3 linked regions of the Tribolium castaneum genome follow. The protein of the gene in region 2 binds, or shares a complex with, the protein of the main gene of each other region. Links are inferred from orthologs where the notes say so. Each region holds a gene or a part of one and is shown on either strand. Other genes may lie near its edges.

Region 1 (4,366 bases), on a different chromosome or scaffold from region 2:
TTAAATTTCTTTTCGGAAACGAAGTTTCAATTCCAAAATTTTTCTCAATTATTTTTATTTCAAAAAAAGCTTAAAGTAAATAACTAAAATCTAAAATGTGTTTCGAAGATTTATATAATAAGTTGTAATGTATACAAAAGCGCGTAATTTCTTGCGTACACCGGCCGATCACATACTGCAATAAATACTGCATCTCCTAAACGGATAGAAATTTTATTTTGCGAATTATAGTGTAAAATCTTTATATTATAAGCTATTTTTTAAAATAAAAATAGTAGAAAAAGTTGTCCAAGTTACTAAAATTTGGATTTGAAACTTCACTTCTAGTTTTGTACAAAAAATTCAAATTCCAAAAATAATTTCAGCATTAAAAAGAACAGTAAATTTTCTAAACAAAAGCCCAACTTTAAATATCTTGTTGTGCATTAGTTATAAGAATATAAGTCAAAAATAAGTCTCATATAAAAAATCATTATGTATTTAGATTAACAATCATTCTTTCTAGAAAACCAATTATTCCGAATATGACCGAATCTTAGGTTGTAAATTTTTTTTTGGTTGTCTGCTTCAAGTAAAATGCCTCAAATAATAAGAAAGGGTAAAAAAATTTTTAAAAGGTCATATGCATAGAGAATAAAAATAAAATATTTAATTGCAAACGCTGGTTTTTGTGTTTTGAACCACTACTTTTAGTAGACACCTTCTATTTTTTTTAATAATTATTATAATTTTTTAATTTTGAAACTTAAACATAAAAATATAAGCAAAAAAACACACAAGAACAAAAAATAAAGCCTTTTGTGTCAAATTATCAATCACTGCTTTATTATTTCCAATAGAAACGACATCCAAGAAAATAAAATCTTCCTGTCTAAGATTTTTTTGAAAAATGATCCATAGCAAGAGACAGGTGATTATGGTGGCATCAGGTTCTTATAAAAGAGGTTGTACTGTAGTTACCACACATGTACAGGATTAAATATTTTGTAAAGCTGGTACGAAAAATTGTAATTATGCATGACTGACTGTATCTAAACTAAATAAAACACACACTTGAATTGAACCGAATTTTTCTCACTCCTCCATTATCCCAAAATTAATTAATACAATCGAACAGGGCGGACATTTGGCTCAATTCGTGTATCTATGGTATGAATTTTTAATGTTGCGGTTTTGATGACGCTGCATACATTTATTATTCAATTTATAATACTATATCACATAAAATTCCCTTCTTTGGTACCGAATAATTACTTATCAATTATTTATCCTCTCATAAAATCTGTTCTATCACATTTTGAATATATAATTTCAGCCGGCGTTCTAGTGCCACCTTGTACCAAAAGCACCAACGATATATTAGGCACTAAAGGGTGTTGCAACTAGGAATGCGCAGTGTGGTATCGCAAACACAGGTGGCGCTATACAAGTTACGTAACAACAAAAACTGTTTTATTATTATTTTATTTATTGCAACTATTTTGCTAAGTTTATAAATAAAAATTTGTAGCAATAACAATAATAACATTGAATTATAAGAACGGTGCGAGCGCCACCCGTGTCACTCCAGCGAACTACATAATTGACTGATGTCAGATGTTTTCTTTACTTGTGTTTTTTTCTTTATTTACGTAAAAACAATAAGTGTAACATAAAAACAGTCAAAACACAACCACTGGTTACAATGTTCGCGGTTGCAGTCTCTTCGCTAAACCAAAAATAATTCTAAAAAGTTGGTAGATAATGTTGATATTTTGAGGCTTTTTATCTATGGGTGTCAACGTCCCTTCCGTTAATTAATCAGTGATACAAGTGTAATATTTGGGAGAGATGTCGAAGAACAAGCTAAACCTGACCCTCCCCCCGGGTTCGCTGGACCAAACCCCCACGGTGACCCCCACAAGTGCGCCGTTTCCGGACGCCGCAGCCCCGTAAGTGTCTTTTCCGTGCGTTTCGAAACTGGAGGGCAGTTTCAGGTCGAACAACGTCGGGGGCTCCAGCATCGACAACCTAACGGCCCGGATCGAGGGCTTGGAGATGGACGCCACGCAGAGGAGGCGCATTGAGGTGTTCCTGTGCCAGAAGGAGAAAATCGGGGGTGATTTGAGCGACGACGATTTGGAAAAACTGGGCGAGTTGGGGTCGGGGAACGGCGGCGTCGTTATTAAAGTCCGCCATAAATCCGGGCTCATCATGGCCCGGAAATTAATCCACTTGGAGGTGAAACAGGCGATCAAACTCCAGATAATTCGCGAATTGAAAGTCTTGCACGAGTGCAATTTCGCGCACATTGTGGGCTTCTACGGCGCGTTTTACAGCGATGGGGAGATCAGCATCTGTATGGAGTATATGGACGCTGGGTCTTTAGACTTAATTCTTAAAAAAGCCGGACGGATTCCCGAAAATATACTCGGGAAGATTACCGTTGCGGTTTTGAAGGGGCTGAGCTACTTGAGGGATAAACACGCGATTATGCACCGCGATGTTAAGCCCAGTAATATACTCATTAATAGTAGCGGCGAGATCAAGATTTGTGATTTTGGGGTCTCGGGACAACTTATAGACTCGATGGCGAACTCTTTCGTCGGAACGAGAAGCTACATGTCGGTAAGATATCACAAAGTGTTACAAACAAGAAAAAAGCTGTCACCAGAATAAATACTTGTCAATCTACCACCAAAATCTTATAAAACTCTTATGAAAGCTTTATTAAATTTTAATTCGTTGTTGAACGTTAACAACGCAAATACACCAATGAAATTGGTTTAATTTGGTCACGTGATCAGTTAATCACGCATTTAATTGCAGATTATCTTAATGACGCTTCTATAAACGGGTCCTTAGTTATTAAAGATGAAAAGATGTGTTAAAGTTTTTGAAAATCGACATAGTTTTGCACTAAAAAATAAAATTACATAATTGTTTTATCTCAAATTAACGTAAAACATATCGAATGTTATATTTTGTCACCCAATTAAATGAATAATTAATTATCGTAATTTATGTCGGATCAGATAAACTTTTATATTCGGAGAATAACTAGCTTTACTTAATTTCCAGACTGTAAGAATTTGTATTACTTAGGAGTAATGCACTTTTTTTAGAAAGAATACGTTTCTTACTCACTTGTTATATATATACTAAACAGAATATTATATTATTGAGATTATAAGTAAAACTTTATGGGCTAAGGTTAAGGCTGGTTAAGGCTGAGCCGTGCAATATATGCAATTTTTTCTCCAAATGTTATATAATATAATTAATGCATTTTGTCTCATAAAATTAATGGATCATTTAAGAAAATAATACAATATGTAATAATCTAAATTTCTTGTTTGGATGCCAATTCACCAAATCAAAAAAATAAATAAATAATTGCGAAATGTCTGAATGATATCTGCCGGCAAATTACGCATTGTTTGGTGAAATAGTAGTGTTTTAAGTTATTCAGAATGCGACGAATTGTACTTTTAATGTTAATTAGTAAATATTGTTATTATTAGGCTAAATTGAGTAAAATAAGCTTGCTTTTTTACAGGTTTTAAATAGTAATCATAAACAGCTAAATGAAATACGTCAAAATATCAAAATAACTCACTTTAAAGAATATGTTAGAATAAATTGAATTTTTTTTAAGTAACGTCAACTTTCGTTAAAAAATTAATTTTGTCAAATTTAGAACTAAATTAGTCTGCCAAAAGTATTGTTTTTACTTCATCTCAAAAACTAATGATCACAGAGAATTCTGAGTTTGCTATTAAATAGTTAATGGTTATTTCTATCTATAAATTTTTTTACAAGACTTAATATTAAGCCGTTGAAAAAAATAGTTTTTATACCTTAATGCAAACGGTGCTTAAATATTGTTTTGTGCAAAAATACGTAGAAAATTCACGTTATTTTGGAGCTTAACAACATTTTATTGTGAATGATATGGAATCTGAAGAACTTTGCACGCTTAGAGAAAAAATAAGGAATTAAAGCAAACGCTGATTATTATTAGTTCTTGAAATATAGGAAAAAAATTTTTCAGCAGATTCATCTTGCAAATTATCATTTACAAAATGATGATATCTGACGTTCAACGAAAAAAAAAAACATTTTTTAAATAAGTTAAACAATTTTTTAACGTAAGAACATTGTTTTTAAATAAATTTTTTGTTATAATTATTTCATGTAATATCACTGCCAGTAAGGTAACAAAACTAATGTAAACTAGGTAAGTAAAATACATGCTAAATAATTAATAACAAAAGATACGTAATAATGCTAAACATTACATTACATTACATCAACAATACTTGTTGATAAATAAGACCTTTTTGAACCTATTTTATGATGTTTTCTGTACATAAATTTTTATTTA
Region 2 (3,659 bases):
TTTTGTACGTTTGTCAGCCAGAAACGTAATTTGCGAAAATTACATAAAAACAAGCCGAAAATCAACAAATTATGCCGAAAATATTGTGGTTTTTAAGAAACAAAATTTTTCTCGGGAGTTTCGTTAAAACGGCCAAAAAATTACAAAATCTAACTATAACGTTTTAGTTAGTTTTAAAGCAACTACATACGACTATTTCGAGAAATTGTATGCACTCCTTTGAGCTAAAAATTCGAGATTGTGATAAGCCGGTTCAAAAAAACACTAAACCAAAGTTAAAATGACTGCCTTTTTTGTTTTTCTTCAAGGTTTTTAGCATATTGCTCAACCAGAAATGTAATTATTGCGAGGAACATTTAAAAAATCCAAAAATTAATCAACTTGTGTGTAACTTTTGGCCTTGTAAGTATGTAAGCAAGTTTTCTCGTGGGATCACTAAACCAAATTTCAAATGTATGTTACATTATTTGCCTTTTTCGAGCATCTTAATACGTTTTTCATTCAGAAACGCAATTATTTCGATGAATTTTCGTAAAAAACAAGCTGAACAATCGCCAAATTAGGTTGAAAATTGTTGAAAATCATAATTCATGACATAAAAACGTTTTTTGCATGATTTCTCTAAATACTAAACTAAAAATTGTTTTAAAACTTACTTTATTATTTTTGTCTTCAAAGCATTTTTTAGCATTTTTTTTTCAGCCAGATACAATTAAGTTAAAAATTGTATTTTTAAGTTTTTTAGAGTCTTAATAAATTAAGCATGTTTTTAAACCAAAAAACCCAATTTATTATTTCGAAATGCTTCGAAAAAAGACAAAAAATCTTTTTACTAGTTCTAGCGCCGGTATGTACTTTACCAAAAAAATGTAAATATTGCATGTTGTTTCCCGTTTTCATGATTTTAGCACAATTTTATGTTAGAAACCCAACTAATTCGAGAATCTTTGCAAATAAGAGCTGAAAATCGCCAAATTTGTTTAAAAAGGTGTTACTTTTGCCTTACTTAAGGGCTTAAGCTATCTTAAGCTATTTTTTTTTGAGGTAAAGACAAAACCGGACCAAAATTCACGAAATTAAACCAAAATTTACATTATATTTCTTTCACGACCATTTTAAAGGTTTTTTTAACCTGAAATCCAATAAAAAAAATAGATCCAAAATAAGCAGAAAAGTCACAAAATTAAATAAAAAATGCTGTAATAATAATTTTCACATTTTCAGGGGCTGTTCAGTTAAGATCACAGTCTTTTGTGAGATTTCGGAAAATTGTGTGAAAAATACTAAACAATTATTTTCACTTTCTTTTTCGAGTGTTTTACTAAAATTTTTCAAGAAAAATAGTCAAAAATAAGCTGTAAAATAACTGAACCAAAAATTTGACCGTAACTTTATTTTCTCCTTTTTCTTTAAACGTTTTACTCGTAGCACGCAATTTTGCACAAAATAATAATAAACAAATTTAAAAAAAATAAAATAAATAAATAAATAAATAAAAATAAATAAATAAATAAATAAAATAAAATAAAATTATCTTTATTTTTTCAAGTGCTTTAGAACGTTTTACAGAATTACTTCAAGTCTTCATAAATAATCCAAAAAATCCATTAAATTAGGTGAATATTGCCTTATGTTAGAACATCATACGTTTTTTAAGACAAAACATAGTTTTTCTGAGAACTTTCAATAAAAAGGACGAAACAGTTAAGTACATTATTTGTGCTTCATTCAAGTGTTTTAGCAGGTTTTTCAGCCATAAATGCAAATATCTCAAGTTATTTCGTCAAAAATAATCTAGAAAATCGTCAACTTGGTTGACAATAGGGTGCTTAGAGAGGTTACAGACGTTCACCACACGTTCTTGAGTTTAAAACTGAGTTTTCATAGAAATTTCGCTAAGCGAATTCAAATGTGCGATATGTTTCCTGTTTTTATACATTTTACCACAATTTTGTATTTTTTTCCGAAAAAAAATGTAAAAAAGCTGAATAATCGCCAAATTAGGTTGAAAATAGTGTTAGTTTTGCCATGTCTAATGCTGTAATTTTCACATCTTTTGTGCTTGTCCATTTAAGATCACAGTCTTATGTGAGCTTTCGGTAAACTGTGTAAAAAACACTACATAATTATTGTCACTTTTTTCAAGCGTTTTACTCGTTTTTCGAGAAAAATCGTCAAAAATAAGCCGTAAAATCGCTGAATTAAATTAAAATGGTGTTGCGTTTGGACTTTTTCAAGCGTTTTTGCGCTATATTTCATCATAAAACTAATAACTTACTTCGTTTTTCGTTTTTTTTCATGCGTTTTGGGGCGTTTTTGCAAAAAAATAAGAAAAACCTACCGTAGACAACATCCGGTTTGATCAAATTCAAATTCATGAAAACATCATCGGCCATATTGTACGGATTCAGTTTCTTCTCCTCGCTTTGCTTGATCATCAACTCCTCCAGCGTCACAAACCCGGCCAAATTTTCATTACATTGCTTGAACGTCTTCTTCGGAAAATTCGGGACGTGAAAATCGTTAATATTGCACAAACTTGGATTACTGGCATGGACATAATTCAGCGGTTTGACTTTGGATAATTTTCCCGAAGCCTTTTCCTGACCCTTACCCAAGTGTTCAACAGTCAAATTCGGAACACTCACGTTCTGAACCGACTGCTGAAACTGCGGTATTTCGGACCTGTGTGCAAAAAACGACGCCACATGCGATGTAAAATTGCCGGTGGTAACACTTCCGCTTGGAGTTTCCGTCGTTTTGATTTTTCGGTAAGAGCGGAACTGGGCGGTGGGCACCGGAAGTGAGTTTTTCGAATGACTGCTTGATTTATTGAAGAAGCGTTTCCGGTCCAAGCTCGTGCTGCCACCGGCTGCGTTTTCGTGTTTCTTGGTGAGCTTCTTCAAAGAGTTGAATTTTTTGATAGTTTCTGGGTTCTTCTCCGGTTCGGTTTTTTTGGGTTTTTCGGTGTCTGATTCGTCCGTTTCTGAGTAGAGGGAGCCGTCGGCTGTTTTGAGACTGTCGTTGTTGAGGGTGGCTGCGGTGATCGTCTCGATCCATGATTGGAGGGTTTCAGGATCTTCGGCTGAGAAGTAGAATACTGTGCCCGTGTGGTACACTTTGAAAGCGTTCGAGCGAGATTTCACCTTAATAATCATGTTAGAAATTAATAAAACTGCAAGGTTTTCTTACCTCGCTCGCCACAGCCACCGTAAACCCCGAGAGGAAAATAAGACACGCCGCTCTTGGATCTTCTTTTGTCTTGAAACCGTACAGACAACTACCTAACAAAACAAACCACCTTTTCTCCCAGTGGACGTTTTGGTTGTGTTTGCTTCGCAAGCGTTGGTACAAATACCCCTGAGTGTCGGGAGGGTTCAAATCGTTGACTGTTACTCTTCTCCGTTCTTAAAAAAAATTATTATAACTCTCAAACAAATAATAATAAGAAATACAAAAAAACGAACAGTTCGTATACATGAAATAAACGCATATTTATCTGAAATAAAAGAGTTTTCATGGAATGAAGTCACTTCCACTGTTGACGTAGATAAGGTCTATTCCAAATTAAATTCTGCTAGCAGTGTTTACTTATTAAATATTTTCCATTTAAAACCCTCTACACTTAAAACAATTTGTGGTGTCCGATTATAACAAAC
Region 3 (2,345 bases), on a different chromosome or scaffold from region 2:
AGAAACTGGGCCTTGATTTTTTTTATCATGAAGTTTTTAATAATTTGTACAAATTCTATAATCGCTAATATGTTTAAACTAATTTATTAGAAGAGAAAACGAGGGTTCATTCGAAATAAATTTATTTTTCAATTGACATTTTGTGATAAAATTAAAAAGTACAAACTTGACAAAAAACAAGCTTACCAACCTTAATTCCAGACGTTAATCAAGTCCTGAAGGAGCTTCTCGAGGTCCAAAAGGAGAATCTGGACATCGAGCGCCAACGCCTGGAACTGGAAAAACAGAGGCTCGAATTTGAGCGCTTTGTTGGTTCCCAATTACTGGCAATGGGCCCATTTATTGGAAATTTGTTCCATCGATTTGCATTTCCGACCGAAGATATGACAGAAAACGAGAAAAATAACAGCCGAAAGAGGCAAAGTAGTTGTGATATTGACCTTTTGAAGGATAGTAAAATTTTGAAGACTCTGCTGAGTGAGGGGCTGAAGAAGTACATTGTGAGTGAGGATGAGAACGACGACAGTGGGATTCACAATGATGACAACAGCAACAGCAGCAGTAAATAATTTGTTCGTTTCATTCCAATAACATTCCGTTAATTATTTATTTAATTTATTTGTATAGAATTACAATAAAGTCAAGCTATTGAGTATTCATAAAACATATTGTTTGTGTTGCGCCGCTGCAAGTCCCGAATTTCCATTATGTCGGTTTTTAACCGGAGTTTTAAAATTTCGCGCCAAATTGCCTCACGGTGGTCCACATCCGTTATCCCCAGTCGGAGCAAAGAATTATCATTTATTCGCAATAATGTGCGTCCTGTTACATCATTTTGGATGAATTTATCGACATAAAGGGCATAGTAGTCGGTGCAGTGCCTCCGGAGCCACTTTTGTACGTCTACCACCGTCCACGAATACACCGACTTGGGTTTATTGTAATTAACCGCTTTGAGCTGCAATTAATTGTTTAAAACCGGCGAATGGCTGTGTTAATTGGTTAATTCCTACCTTTGGTTTGTTTATATTATTTAAAGTTTCTTCCACCATCTTGCTTGTCAAACTGACAGGTTGTGACCAACCGCAATACCAACCCATCAAGCAAAAACTCCAATTTATTTAAAACAGAGCGCCACTTTGAAATAAAACACCAACTTGCATTTGTTATATTTTATTTAAAAAAGCGCCAGCTTATATATTTGATTATATCCAACTATCAATAGAAAAAAATAAACATCTAAAACAAAATAATACATGGTTAGACCTTATCTTAAATAAACTTGCAATTGTAAAGCGCACTGTAACAAAACTTTAAGCCCGGGCATAAAACTGGCAATTTGAGCGAAATCAGGCCCTGACACTAGCTGAGTGTGTAAATTCAGTCCTCCTGTATAATCTCCGTTTTGCACCAACTGTACCATTTGATGTAACGCTCCTAAAGTGTTGGGTGACAGTTTCTGTTCCCTTAACAAATCATACAACGACTCTAACTTTCGGCCAACATCCTCCAATTTTCGCTTGGTTTGCTATAAAAAATGCGATTAAAACAACTTCAAATTGTTGTGTTAAATAAAATACCGGATTATTAGCCGCACAACTGCACTGATATTTCAACTCGTCAAAAACGGTTTGCATGTGTATGTGTTCTTCGGGAATTGGTGGTTTTTGAATTGGTTGTGGTTTCTCTGGAACCACAGGAGTTTGGTTTTGGACCTGGTTAAAATTGACCGCATTTGACTTAAAACCAGTCGGATTGAACGTAGTAGGCGGTGTGAAATTGTTAGGTGGGGCAAAATTATTAGTTGGCTGTGGTTGGAACATTTGTGGTTCGGTTCCGTAACCGTTGTTGGTGGGCGCCGACCCATACAATGGGTGCGTTATGGGTTGAGATGGGACGGATGCCTCTGGTTTGGGCTGAAAAATCACAATTTATGGTTATTTGTTGTATGACACTTCCGTGATCTACAAGGTTAGTAGTATTTATGCATCAAAATTTGAACCTCAAAAAAAACGAAATATTACTTTCTACTGATTAGGGGTTTTTGCACAATCATTTTGAAATGACTTGAGCAAATATTATAAAATTGGTACAGTTGCTTAGAAGCATACATATTTTGACAAAAACCTGACAAATCGACTCAAGTTTTCAGTTACCGCTTTTCCAAGTAAGATTTTTATTCCGGATTTTGCTCCTTTAATGCTCATTTTTATTGCTAAAGTCTCTTTAAGTTGCTACTTTAATTTAAACTGAGGCTTCTACGAAACCAAAACCAAAAAGTATGAATTTTAAGTAAACAATATCCTTTGCAATAGAAGTGTTTTTGCACTAATACCGCTGACAGC

The links.
Region 1: the proteins of cnk (region 2) and Dsor1 are in contact, whole or in part, in a cryo-EM structure (PDB 8BW9), measured with the Drosophila melanogaster proteins. The link is inferred for Tribolium castaneum from reciprocal best matches to the Drosophila melanogaster genes cnk and Dsor1. Residues at the interface, in NP_001286524.1 of Drosophila melanogaster: Arg46, Tyr48, Arg72, Tyr76, Thr92, Lys95, Asn96, Arg99, Arg103, His117, Arg121; in NP_511098.1 of Drosophila melanogaster: Arg200, Gln255, His258, Gln262, Tyr319, Val321, Asn322, Glu323, Pro324, Lys347, Gln348, Asp350, Glu351, Arg352, Ala353, Asp354, Lys356.
Region 3: the proteins of cnk (region 2) and ave are in contact, whole or in part, in a crystal structure (PDB 8BW8), measured with the Drosophila melanogaster proteins. The link is inferred for Tribolium castaneum from reciprocal best matches to the Drosophila melanogaster genes cnk and ave. Residues at the interface, in NP_001286524.1 of Drosophila melanogaster: Pro47, Glu51, Leu56, Arg57, Ile58, Gly59, His60, Gln61, Glu62, Leu65, Glu66, Glu69, Lys110, Ile111, Asp112, Thr113, Leu116, His117, Ile119, Thr120, Arg121, Ile123, Lys127, Val130, Glu134, Arg139, Arg145, Cys148, Gly149, Leu152; in NP_725413.1 of Drosophila melanogaster: Tyr24, Gln51, His52, Asp53, Ile54, Arg57, Ala58, Arg61, Ile62, Thr63, Ser66, Arg69, Met70, Glu79, Trp82, Arg83, Val86, Lys87, Arg89, Leu90, Lys91, Asp93, Ile94, Glu96, Ile97, Arg98, Met100, Glu101, Leu103, Asn104.

Annotation. Positions count from the first base shown.
Region 1 is NC_087403.1:8,130,126-8,134,491, forward strand, and holds the start of Dsor1 (dual specificity mitogen-activated protein kinase kinase dSOR1), read left to right. Parts: upstream 1-1,468; 5' UTR 1,469-1,830; coding exon 1,831-1,931; intron 1,932-1,976; coding exon 1,977-2,607; intron 2,608-4,366. UniProt on the Drosophila melanogaster protein: Required downstream of Raf in the sevenless (sev), torso (tor), and Drosophila EGF receptor homolog (DER) signal transduction pathways.
Region 2 is NC_087398.1:13,500,116-13,503,774, forward strand, and holds part of cnk (uncharacterized protein cnk), read right to left. Parts: intron 3,408-3,659; coding exon 3,193-3,407; intron 3,147-3,192; coding exon 2,342-3,146; intron 1-2,341.
Region 3 is NC_087399.1:9,899,533-9,901,877, reverse strand, and holds ave (protein aveugle), read right to left. Parts: upstream 1,150-2,345; 5' UTR 1,101-1,149; coding exon 1,014-1,100; intron 959-1,013; coding exon 641-958; 3' UTR 599-640; downstream 1-598. Other genes in the region: myb/SANT-like DNA-binding domain-containing protein 4, read left to right, coding at 202-569; Sec31 (protein transport protein Sec31A), read right to left, coding at 1,268-1,528, 1,581-1,916. UniProt on the Drosophila melanogaster protein: Required for normal photoreceptor differentiation between Ras and Raf for EGFR signaling in the eye and for mitogen-activated protein kinase phosphorylation. Probably acts together with Cnk to promote Raf activation, perhaps by recruiting an activating kinase.